Oryctolagus cuniculus: one gene and its partners. The protein of the gene in region 1 interacts with the protein of each later gene in a pairwise test. Links are inferred from orthologs where the notes say so. Each region holds a gene or a part of one and is shown in the gene's direction. Other genes may lie near its edges. The genes, in order: CALCOCO1, DUSP13B and CWF19L2.

Region 1 (3,651 bases):
GGCATCTGGTCCTGCTCCTGCCTGGACAAAGAGGGAGTCCACCGTGTAGCTGGGAGGCAGGGGAGAGAGAAGGTGGCCATGAGAGCTGCACTGAGATCTCGGCTCTGTTGTGCAAAAGCTGGTCGGCCTTAGGCAGTTACTTAGCCTCTCTGTCTGTCATCCTAGAAGGCAAAGAGGCTGGCTGTAGGCAAAGCTGTTAGCACAGCGTCTGGTAGGGAGGCGGAGCTTTGGGAAGCAGAGGAGGGAAAGCGCTAACCAGAGAAGGGAGAGGGCTACCCCAAGGAACAGAACTGCTCCATGGGACGGAGAAACAAAACATGGAGCAGGAAGCCAGGGGCGGTGGGTACTGTGCTACATACACCAAGGGCGGGGGGACGTGCCTGGGATCACACTGGGGGCCCGGGGCCGGCCTTTTCCCCACAGCCAGCTACCTGCCCAAACCGGGAGCCCAGCTCTACCAGTTCCGCTATGTGAACCGCCAGGGCCGGGTGTGCGGGCAGAGCCCCCCTTTCCAGTTCCGAGAGCCGAGGCCCATGGATGAACTGGTGACCCTGGAGGAGGCGGACGGCGGCTCTGACATCCTGCTCGTGGTCCCCAAGGCTACCGTACTGCAGGTGAGAGAAGAGCGACAGAGTTGCCCCTGGAAGAGGGAGCCGGAGGACAGCATGGGGGGTGGGGATTCCTCCACTTCCTGCTTCCTCCACGTGTAGCCTCAACAAAAGACCTCACCGGGAGTTACACCAAGTCCTACCTGCAAGAAAGTCTCCGTGTAATGTAGACGGACTGTAAGCACGCCCCCACGGGCCAGCGTAGCCCAGGGCTTCATAAGAACTGGCCTTTCTTACCACATCCTGCCCCAGGCCCTACAGGCTGATGCAGAGGGTCCAAGGAGGCTATGCCAGGGAACGTTCTGAGAAAGGCAGGATGAGAACTGCCTCCAAGACCAGGGAGGAGGGAGAGCAGATAGGCAGGGCCCCTTCCCGCTCCATCCGATGCCAGAGACCCAGCCACGTGTGATCCTTTGTGCTCCACATGCGACTAGTCCATGCTGAGGGATGCTATATGGAGTTTGAAGACTTAGTACGTGTAAAAAAATAATGTGGAAGATCTCAGTCATTTTTTATTTTTTTAAAGACTTATTTATTTATCTGAGAGGCAGAATTACAGACAGAGAGGGGGAGAGACAGAGAGAGAGGTCTTCTATCTGCTGGTTCACTCCCCAGTGGCCACAACGGCTGGAGCTAGGCCGATTTGAAGCTTGGAGCTTCCTCTGGGTCTCCCACACTGGCGCAGGGGCCCAAGCACTTGGATCATCCTCCACTGCTTTCCCAGGCCATAAGCAGGAAGCTGGATCAGAAATGGAGAAGCTGGGACTCAAACCGGTGCCCATATGGCGTGCCAGCACTGTGGCAGACTTAACGTACTACGCCACAGCACCGGCTCCAGATCTCAGTAACTTTTATATTGCTTACATGTTGAAAGGATGTACCATATTGGATAGAGTAGATTAGATAAAATATTAAAACTAATTCCACACGTTTCTTACCTTTGAAGTGACTACTAGAAAGGGTAAAATTATTTATGTGGCTTGTGGTCTCTTTCTATTGATCATATATAAGAAGAATTAAGGAGTGGAGACAGATATTAGCAAGGCAGACTTCCTAAAGGAAGTTCAAGGCCGGGTGAGGAGGAAGTACACTCCCCAGCCAGGAGGGTAAGCCTGAGGAGGTTTCAGAAGGCGAGAATGAGTAGCTTTTCTGTGATTTAAACAAACTCTGCCCTCTGAAACCCCAAGTCTAAAAAAATAGGTGGAGTCAACACAAGAACAGGAAAATGTTTTTATGTCACATAAATCAGATGTGTGACCTGCTACACTGTATTCTGTTCTCGAATTAGTTTTTCTCACTTAAACCTCATGCCTGGGGCCAGGCATGTTTGCCCAGCGGTGAGACACTGTGTCCCACAGCACAAGACCACACCCAGCTCCAGCTCCAGCTCCAGATTCCGGCTGCCTGCTGATGCAGATGCTGGGAGGCAGTGGCGATGGCGCACATAATTGGGTTTCTGCTGCCCACGTGGAAGACCTGGATTGAGTTCCTGCTCCTGGTTCCAGTCCTGGCCATTATAGGCATTCGGGGAGTGAACCAGCAGGTAGTAGGAGCTCTCTGTCCATCTCTTTCTCTGTCTCTTTGCCTCTCAGATTAATTAGCAAAACAAAACCTACAACCAAGACTAAGGGATCACTTTGCAGATGAGGACACAGATTGAGAGAAATGAAACAACGTGTTCAAAGTCACCTAGCTGGGAAAAAGTGTACTGGGATTTGAGCCCAAGTGTATCTGACTGCAGAAAAAATAGGGTGAAACTTGGGGAATCATCTCTTTTGTCTGCGTCCGCAGAGAAAGACTTCTGCCAGATGAGGGACTCTCGCAGTTGCTGGGTGAGGAAGGGCCCAGCCTGGTGTGGGGAAAGGGCAGGTAACAGTGAACTGTAAGCTGGCGTGAATGGCTGCGTGGTGGCCAGGAGTCGCACCAGGCCTCCCCCTGCTCGCCCTCCTCGCCCATGCTGATGTAACTTCCCAACCCCGACGTGCACCCGCAGAGCAAGAGGGGTGGACCCTCAGAACTGGGTGCACGCTAAGCACACCGCTTCCCACCTGCCCCCCGTAGAACCAGCTGGATGAGAGCCAGCAAGAACGGAATGACCTGATGCAGCGGAAGCTGCACCTGGAGGGCCAGGTGACGGAGCTGAGGAGCCGCGTGCAGGAGCTCGAGACGGCCCTGGCAGCTGGCAGGCAGGAGCACGCCGAGCTCCTGGAGCAGTACAAGGTGGGAGTCGGGCCAGGAGCGGGTGAGGCTGGCCGCGTGCCCAACAGAGAGTGAAGGAGAGATGGCGGTGGGCTTCTCGGGTGCTGCTGGCATCCCAGGAATAGGCTCAGCGGGCAGGGAGTGGGCTGAGACCTGAGATTCCAGGAGATCCGTCCCGATGTGTAAGGAGACAGCGCTCTGAGCGCTGACGCGCTGGGATAAGGTGCAAGGTGGCCGGAGTCACAGGTGAGGGCGTGTGCCCTTACAGTTTCTTTTTCAAGGAGGGAGTCGGGATGGAGGGCAGAAGCGGTGAAAACTTGGGCGTGCTTCTCCAGAGATGAGCGATAACCTCCCTCATCTTCTGGGGGAACCCCTAACTCCAGGGCCTTGCACGGTCCCATGGGGAGGTCACGGAAGAACGAGACGTCCTGAGCCGGCAGCAGGGCGACCACGTGGCACGCATCCTGGAGCTGGAAGACGACATCCAGACCATCAGTGAGAAAGTACTGACGAAGGAGGTGGAGCTGGACAGGTGAGGGGACCCCAGGGCCTCACGCCCTCCGCATTCCTGCCTCCTGGTGCAGGCAGACATGCCTCCCCTTCTCAGCCTCACTCAGGCTATTGCAGGTCCTGGGGATGTCTTTTTCCTGCCTAGCTCTCTTCCATCCCTCCTAAGGCTCTCCTGTATCTCCCACCTTCAGAAATAATCACAGCCACCGCTGGTTGTGCCGCAGAAGCTACACAAGAGCTGTGGGTGGAGGACTAGGAAGAAGAGAACCGGATAGGACAGTCCATGCAGGTGGTGGTGGGGGATTCCAACTCTTACCCAGGAAAAATAGGACTG
Region 2 (3,651 bases), on another chromosome or scaffold:
AACTCAGATAACACGCATCTATAAACAATGTCCTGGAGTTAGTTTCACCTGTCCTTTACAAGCATGTGAATGGAATGAGAGAGAGAGAGAGAATTGTGCTTGGGTTTATTTCCTTGGAATTGTGAGGGGCATCCACATTGTTATGTATAGCTGCAGTTCATTCAATTTTCTCTGCTGTGTAATATTCCATGGCATGATTACAGCACAGTTTAATCCATTCTGCTGTATATGGGCATATGAATTGTTTCTAGTTTTGGGGTACTATGAACAGTGGTTCCAGGAATATTTTAGTGCACGTATCCTGGGAAAACATAAATATACAGAAGTTTCTCTAAGGTGTGTGTATGTGTGCGTGTGTGTGTGTGCGTGTATAGAACTGTTGTTTTTTCCTAAGAGTATCTTTTACGTTTTAGAAAAATGAGGGGCTGGCGCCGTGGCTCACTTGGTTAATCCTCCACCTGCGGTGCCGGCATCCCATATGGGCACCCGTTCTAGTCCCGGCTGCTCCTCTTCCAGTCCAGCTCTCTGCTGTGGCCCAGGAAGGCAGTGGAGGATGGCCCAAGCCCTTGGGCTCTGTACCTGCATGGGAGGCCAGGAGGAAGCACCTGGCTCCTGATCGGCGCAGCGCCGGCTATAGCAGCCATTTTGGGGGTGAACCAACAGGAGGAAGACCTTTCTCTCTGTCTCTCTCACTGTCTATAACTCTACCTGTCAAATAAATAAAAAAAGAAAAAAAGAAAAATGAACCAAAATATATGGATTTTGCAGATAACTAGTAACAAATTTTTGTGGACTTTTAAAAAAATGCACATACATGTTTTTTTTTTTTTTTTCACAAAAATGGTATCATTTGATAATCCCATTTTGTGAGCTGCTTTTATAGAAAGCTTTTTTTAAATGGAGTCATACTCCATATATTAAAACATCTGGTTTGTATTGTATATTCTCCTCAGGTTCTCAGCGTAGCGTGAACAGCTTTCCCCTCTCAGCAGCATGAGGGACATTTCGGTGACTGCACAGTGTTTCCTCACTGAGATACACAGGAAACATATCCAAGACCTCCAGCGGGTGCCAGAAACAACACACAGTACCAAACCCTATGCATATTTTCTCCCGTGCACTTTTCAATGAGCCTTTAATTCATAAGTTAGGCACAGGAAGAGATGAACAACATAAGAGCAGACCAGAACAGCTACGGTGTTAGGCAGACTAAGGGTCACAGGAACACAAGCAGCGTGGTCCCTCTGACAACCTAGAGGGCTCCAAGTGTCCACAGGGCTGCAGTGTACACAGCCTGCGTGGAACAGAGGGGCGACCCGAGGCTGGGCTGGACATGGCAGGATGGCCAAAGATTTCACAACAGCACCCCATTTAAAACACATGAATTGTGTATTTCTGGGATTTTCCATTCAGTATTTTCAGACCGTGGCCAACCACGACACAAAGCAAAACCAGAGATGGGGGAAGACTACTGTGCCACATTTAAGCTCCCATAATAGGATACTTGGGAGGGTTTTCCCTCATTTGTCATTTTATTTATTTGAAAGTCAGAGTTACACAGAGAGAGAAAGAGAGGCAGAGAGAGCGAGAGTTCTTCCATCCGATGGTTCACTCCCCAATTGGCTGCAACAGCCGAAACTGCGCCGATCCGAAGCCAGGAGCTTCTTCCAGGTCTCCCATGCGGGTACAGGGGCTCAAGGGCTTGGGCCATCTTCTACTGCTTTCCCAGGCCATAGCAGAGAGCTGGATGGGAAGTGGAACAGCCGGGACTAGAACTGGTGCCTGTATGGGATGCTGGCGCTTCAGGCCAGGGCGTTAACCCGTTGCGCCACAGTGCTGGCCCCTAACTTGTCATTATTTTTAATATTACTACCCTCAGTTCACATATGTCTGTGGGCACATTTTATTTTTCTCTTTAAGATTTATTGATCTATTTATTTGAATAGCAAATGACAAAGAGAGAAAGGGATCTTCTATTAGCCAGGACTGGGCCAGGCTAAGTCAGGAGCCAGCAATTCCATCCAGGTGTCCCACAGAGTGGACAGTGAGAGAGAGAGAGAGCTGTTTTTGTATTTCTCATAGACACACATTGAAAATAGAGCTATTTACAACATTTATGTTCCTGTTGTATTTTTAGATAATCTATCGATTACGAAGAGAAGTAAGTTTTTTTATTTTTATTTATTTATTTTTTTGACAGGCAGAGTGGACAGTGAGAGAGAGACAGAGAGAAAGGTCTTCCTTTTGCCGTTGGTTCACCCTCCAATGGCTGCCACGGCCGGCGCACCATGCTGATCTGAAGGCAGGAGCCAGGTGCTTATCCTGGTCTCCCATGCAGGTGCAGGGCCCAAATACTTGGGCCATCCTCCACTGCACTCCCGGGCCACAGCAGAGAGCTGGCCTGGAAGAGGGGCAACTGGGACAGAATCCGGCGCCCCAACCGGGACTAGAACCTGGGGTTCCAGCGCCGCAGGCGGAGGATTAGCCTATTGAGCTGCGGCGCCGGCCTTGACTGAGGTTCTGATATGGGATGCTTGCATTTCCAACAGTGGCTTAGCCCACTGTGCCACAGCATCTGCACCTCTGGGCATAGTTCTGATTGATGTTAGGAGACCTGCTAGGGGCAAAGTACACATACATTTTTTTTAAAGATTTTATTTATTTATTTAAGAGGTAGAGTCACAGACAGTGTGAGGGAGAAACAGAGAGAAAGGTCTTCCTCCCATTGGTTCACCCCCAAATGGCCACTACAGTCGGAACTACGCCGATCCGAAGCCAGGAGCCAGGTACTTCTCCTGGTCTCCCATGGGGTGCAGGGCCCAAGCACTTGGGCCATCCTCCACTGCCCTCCCGGGCCACAGCAGAGAGCTGGACTGGAAGAGGAGCAGCCGTGACTAGAACCCGGTACCCATATGGGATGCTGGCGTCTCAGGCAGAGGATTAGCCAAGTGAGCCACAGCGCCGGCCCCAAAGTACACATACATTTTTAAGGCTTCTGATGCATGTGGCCCAACTGCCCTCCAGAAAGCTGGCCTCGATGAAAGTGAGTGTGAAATGCCAACTAGAAGAGCTCCTCCTCGGGTCCCCCCCCCCCCCCATTCACTGGCTCCAGTGGCTCCCCTCCGAGGGGAACAGTGCAGGTTGGGGAAGCGACTTCCAACCCGTCACACAGCACGTGTGACCTGGTGAGATCCACACCCACCTTCCACTGCAGGTACACAGCCCGGGACAAGAGCCAGCTGATGCAGCTGCGCATTACCCATATTGTGAATGCGGCCGCAGGCAAGTTTCAAGTGGACACGGGTGCCAAGTTCTACCGAGGAATGCCCCTGGAGTACTACGGCATCGAGGCCGATGACAACCCCTTCTTCGACCTCAGCGTCTACTTTCTGCCCGTTGCTCAGTACATCCGAGCTGCCCTCAATGCTCCCCAGGGTGAGCTCCCGGGGCGGCTGTGGGGGGTGGGGGATGGGATGTGCGCTGGGGCCATGCATTTTTCAGTAGCACTGAGGGGTGGGGGGGGTCTAGAGCCCCAAATCTCTCCAGCAGCCTTCCCACTCTGTGAAGTAAAGAACTAAAGCCATTTGATGATGTCCCATTCAAGGCCACCTGGAACAGTCAGAGCCATCACTAAGATCCATGGGGCCATCA
Region 3 (3,651 bases), on another chromosome or scaffold:
AAAATTATGAGGGAGTATTTTTTTATAAGGTGGCCTAGAAAATGCCTCTGAGATATTTTAGTAAATTATGTATGATGGGAGGGAGCAAGAAATTTGAAGGTATAAATGAATGATGTTTCAGGAGGGGTATCAGTGTGTAAAAACGTATGAAGAAGAAATGATTGGCATTCATGGAGCAGTGAAAGAAAGTAGTGAGAAAGTGATAGTAGAAAAGATTAAATAGTGAATGCCAGTTTCAGGAGCTAATGAATTAGTGAATATATAGTGCATATTTATTATTATTATTTTAAAGATTTATTTATTTGAGAGGCAGAGTTACAGAGAGGCAGAGAGAGAGAGAGAGAGAGAGAGAGAAAGAGAAAGAGAAAGGGTCTTTCATCCCTTCCATCCAGTGGTTCACTCCCCAGATGGCTGCAACGGCCGGAGCTGGGCCGATCTGAAGCCTGGAGCCAGGAGTATCTTCTGGGTTTCCCACATGGGTGTAGGGGCCAAGGACTTGGGCCATCTTCCACTGCTTTCCCAGGCCACAGCAGAGAGCTGGAGTGGAGCAGCCAGGGCTCAAACTGGCGCCCATATGGGATGCTGGCACTGCAGGCGGTGGCATTTTTTGCTAAGCCACAGTGCCGGCCCTGTACATATTTTTATTTTTGTTGTTTATGTACATTTGCATTCATACATTATATGTAATCTTACTATCTTTAGATCATTAAAGCAGTCAGTTTATCAATTTGATTTCTTTTGCTTCATTTTTTACCCTTGTTTTTTTCAATTTTCTTTCACTCCATAAGTTATCTCAAAGGTAAATGTAAAAACTTCACTAAATATGTAACCAATTTTTAAAAAGGAAAAACCCATCTTAGCCAATTGCCTATATTAATTTTTTAAAGTTCTTTTTTTTTTTTGAATCTAATAAACCATTCTGTATTTTTCCTGTGTTCTAAAGGATGCTGCTTCAATAAACTTAGTAGTTTTAGAGAGATCATAACAATGTTTGCCCATATATAATATCCATATTCATAATTAATTTGATGATGATGTGTTGGTTTCATCCAAATGAACCTTGAAAATGTCAGTGAATTTTGGCTAAGATACCCAAGATGCATAGCATAGATTGTTGATTCAGAAAGTAAAACATACCTGAACTTACTGACTCATTGACATATTGTACCTTTTTTTTTTTTTAACTTTTATTTAATGAATATAAATTTCCAAAGTACGATTTATGGATTACAATGGCTTCCCCCACATACCGTCCCTCCCACCTACTACCCTCCCCTTTCCCACTCCCTCTCCCCTTCCATTCACATCAAGATTCATTTTCAATTATCTTAATATACAGAAGATCAGCTTAGTATACATTAAGTAAGGATTTCAACAGTTTGCTCCCACACAGAAACATAAAGTGAAAAATAATAGATGATTTTTTTTAAATGATGATGAAATCAGATCAGACCTATTGTCATGTTTAATCCCAGTGAGAGTCAAGTTGGGAGTTGATAATTTCTTTTTTCTTTTTTTTTTTTTTTTAACAGAGGATCAGTTTAGTATACATTAAGTAAAGATTTCAACAGTTTGCACCCCCATAGAAACACAAAGTGAAATATATTGTTTGAGTACTCGTTATAGCATTAAATCTCAATGCACAGCACATTAAGGACAGAGATCCTACATGAGGATTAAGTGCACAGTGACTCCTGTTGTTGACTTTACCAATTGACACTCCTGTCTATGGCATCAGTAGTCTCCCTATGCTCCAGTCATGAGTTTCCAAGGCTATGGAAGCCCTCTGAGTTCTCCGATTCTTATCTTGTTTAGACAAGGTCATAGTCAAAGTGGAGGTTCTCTCCTCCCTTCAGAGAAAGGTACCTCCTTCTTTGAAGACCTGTTCTTTCCCCTGGGATCTCACTCACAGAGATCTTTTGCCAGAGTGTCTTGGCTTTCCATGCCTGAAATACTCTCATGGGCTTTTCAGCCAGATCCGATTGCCTTTAGGGCTGATTCTAAGGCCAGAGTGCTATTTAGGACATCTGCCATTCTATGAGTCTGCTGAGTATCTCACTTCCCATGTTGGATCACTCTCCCCTTTATTTATTCCATCAGTTAGTGTTAGCAGGTACTAGACTTGTTTATCTGCTCCCTTTGACTCTTAGTCCTTTCATTATGATCAATTGTGAACTGAAATTGATCACTTGGAATAGTGAGATGGCATTGGTACATGCCACCTTGATGGGATTGAATTGGAATCCCCTGGTATGTTTTTAACTCTACCATTTGGGGCAAGTCAGCTTGAGCATGTCCCAAATTATACATCTCTTTTCAAGACTTTCATAATTTCCATATATATCACATATGTATTACTACCATATAGATCTCTCACATTTATATATATATTTTATATTTCTTTATTCTGTTCCATATAAGAATAAATTAAACCTCTAATAACACTTAAATTTTTCCTGTTGTGCACTGGGAAATGTTTGAGACTGTAGTCCAGTGGTGTTTCCCTGGGAACCAGCTTCCATATGGGATGCTGGCGTTACACGCTGGAGCTTTAAGTCCTGCGCCACAGTTCTGGTCCCTCCAGTATAAATTTAAGTAGCCACTCTTTCTTTGTTCACAGCAGAGTTTTAAAACTGCCCACTATTTTATAAAATAATTATCTGCCATATAAAATATTTCCAACTACAATTTAACAAAAATAATAGAAAAAACATCCTTTTGCAGGAAGTTATTTATGCTCCTTAGGAGATCTTTTGTCCATTCTCCTTTTTTAAAAGACAGTTTGTATTTAGTGGGAAAAGTAGCACCAGTTTTAAGTAATACATGTATGGAAATAAAAAGAGCTTAACTCGAGCAGTGAAGTCACCGTGAGATCATTTCCTCTCTCTTGGCTAGGTTTTCTTTTCTCAGCTTGTGAGAGGTAAAAGGTCTGATTAATAGTCCATCGATTAGAGCACTCTGCCATTACCAGGCCATGCCATGTATCTTTGTAGTCTTGTGAAACTGTGTTAAGGGCTTTCAAAGTATATACTTTCTTTAGATCAAGGATGTAGTATCATTTATTTTTCCTTCCTTGGATAATCTTTATATGTAGCAGTGAAAATTGCACTTATATTCTGAATTTCCAGTTTATTAAAAACCATTTTTATGGCTTTTAAAATAGTTATAAAAATTAAATCTTTTTTTAAAATAGTTATGATAAACGTTTTCTTCTAAGCAAGTGTACTGTGTTAATTATTAGCTACAAGTGTGAGTAAATTACAGTAGCATTTCAACTTTAAAATTTTTTCCCGATAGGTTTATTTGTGTTTACCCAACTTCCAGTCTCTTACTGAGGGGCACTGCCTGATAGTCCCTTTGCAGCACCATAGAGCAGCCACATTACTAGATGAGGACATCTGGGAGGAAATTCAGGTAAGCATGAAAATGTCATTGTCATTTTAAAGCCCATGAGCAGTTTTTATAAACTAGTGTGGTAGAGTCCAGCAGGGTCTGTATTTTCATTCAATAATTTTACCTTCTGATTTAAACATTTTTGTAGTTGTCTGTATCTGCAGATCATGTTTCCAGCGTTCACTATCTCTTAGTTTTATTTCCCATAAGTACTCTGCATTTTGAAAACTTTTGTTTCTAAACTGGAACACAATATGA

The links.
Region 2: the proteins of CALCOCO1 (region 1) and DUSP13B interact in binary tests that used the Homo sapiens proteins (3 or more experiments, as listed by UniProt). The two-hybrid records come from large-scale screens. The link is inferred for Oryctolagus cuniculus from reciprocal best matches to the Homo sapiens genes CALCOCO1 and DUSP13B.
Region 3: the proteins of CALCOCO1 (region 1) and CWF19L2 interact in binary tests that used the Homo sapiens proteins (3 or more experiments, as listed by UniProt). The two-hybrid records come from large-scale screens. The link is inferred for Oryctolagus cuniculus from reciprocal best matches to the Homo sapiens genes CALCOCO1 and CWF19L2.

What each region holds. Positions count from the first base shown.
Region 1 is NC_091442.1:56,692,855-56,696,505, reverse strand, and holds part of CALCOCO1 (calcium-binding and coiled-coil domain-containing protein 1), read left to right. Parts: intron 1-423; coding exon 424-614; intron 615-2,669; coding exon 2,670-2,828; intron 2,829-3,190; coding exon 3,191-3,339; intron 3,340-3,651. UniProt on the Homo sapiens protein: Functions as a coactivator for aryl hydrocarbon and nuclear receptors (NR). Recruited to promoters through its contact with the N-terminal basic helix-loop-helix-Per-Arnt-Sim (PAS) domain of transcription factors or coactivators, such as NCOA2.
Region 2 is NC_091446.1:66,150,017-66,153,667, reverse strand, and holds part of DUSP13B (dual specificity protein phosphatase 13B), read left to right. Parts: intron 1-3,214; coding exon 3,215-3,435; intron 3,436-3,651. UniProt on the Homo sapiens protein: Dual specificity phosphatase that dephosphorylates MAPK8/JNK and MAPK14/p38, but not MAPK1/ERK2, in vitro. Exhibits intrinsic phosphatase activity towards both phospho-seryl/threonyl and -tyrosyl residues, with similar specific activities in vitro.
Region 3 is NC_091432.1:99,116,193-99,119,843, reverse strand, and holds part of CWF19L2 (CWF19-like protein 2), read left to right. Parts: intron 1-3,297; coding exon 3,298-3,414; intron 3,415-3,651.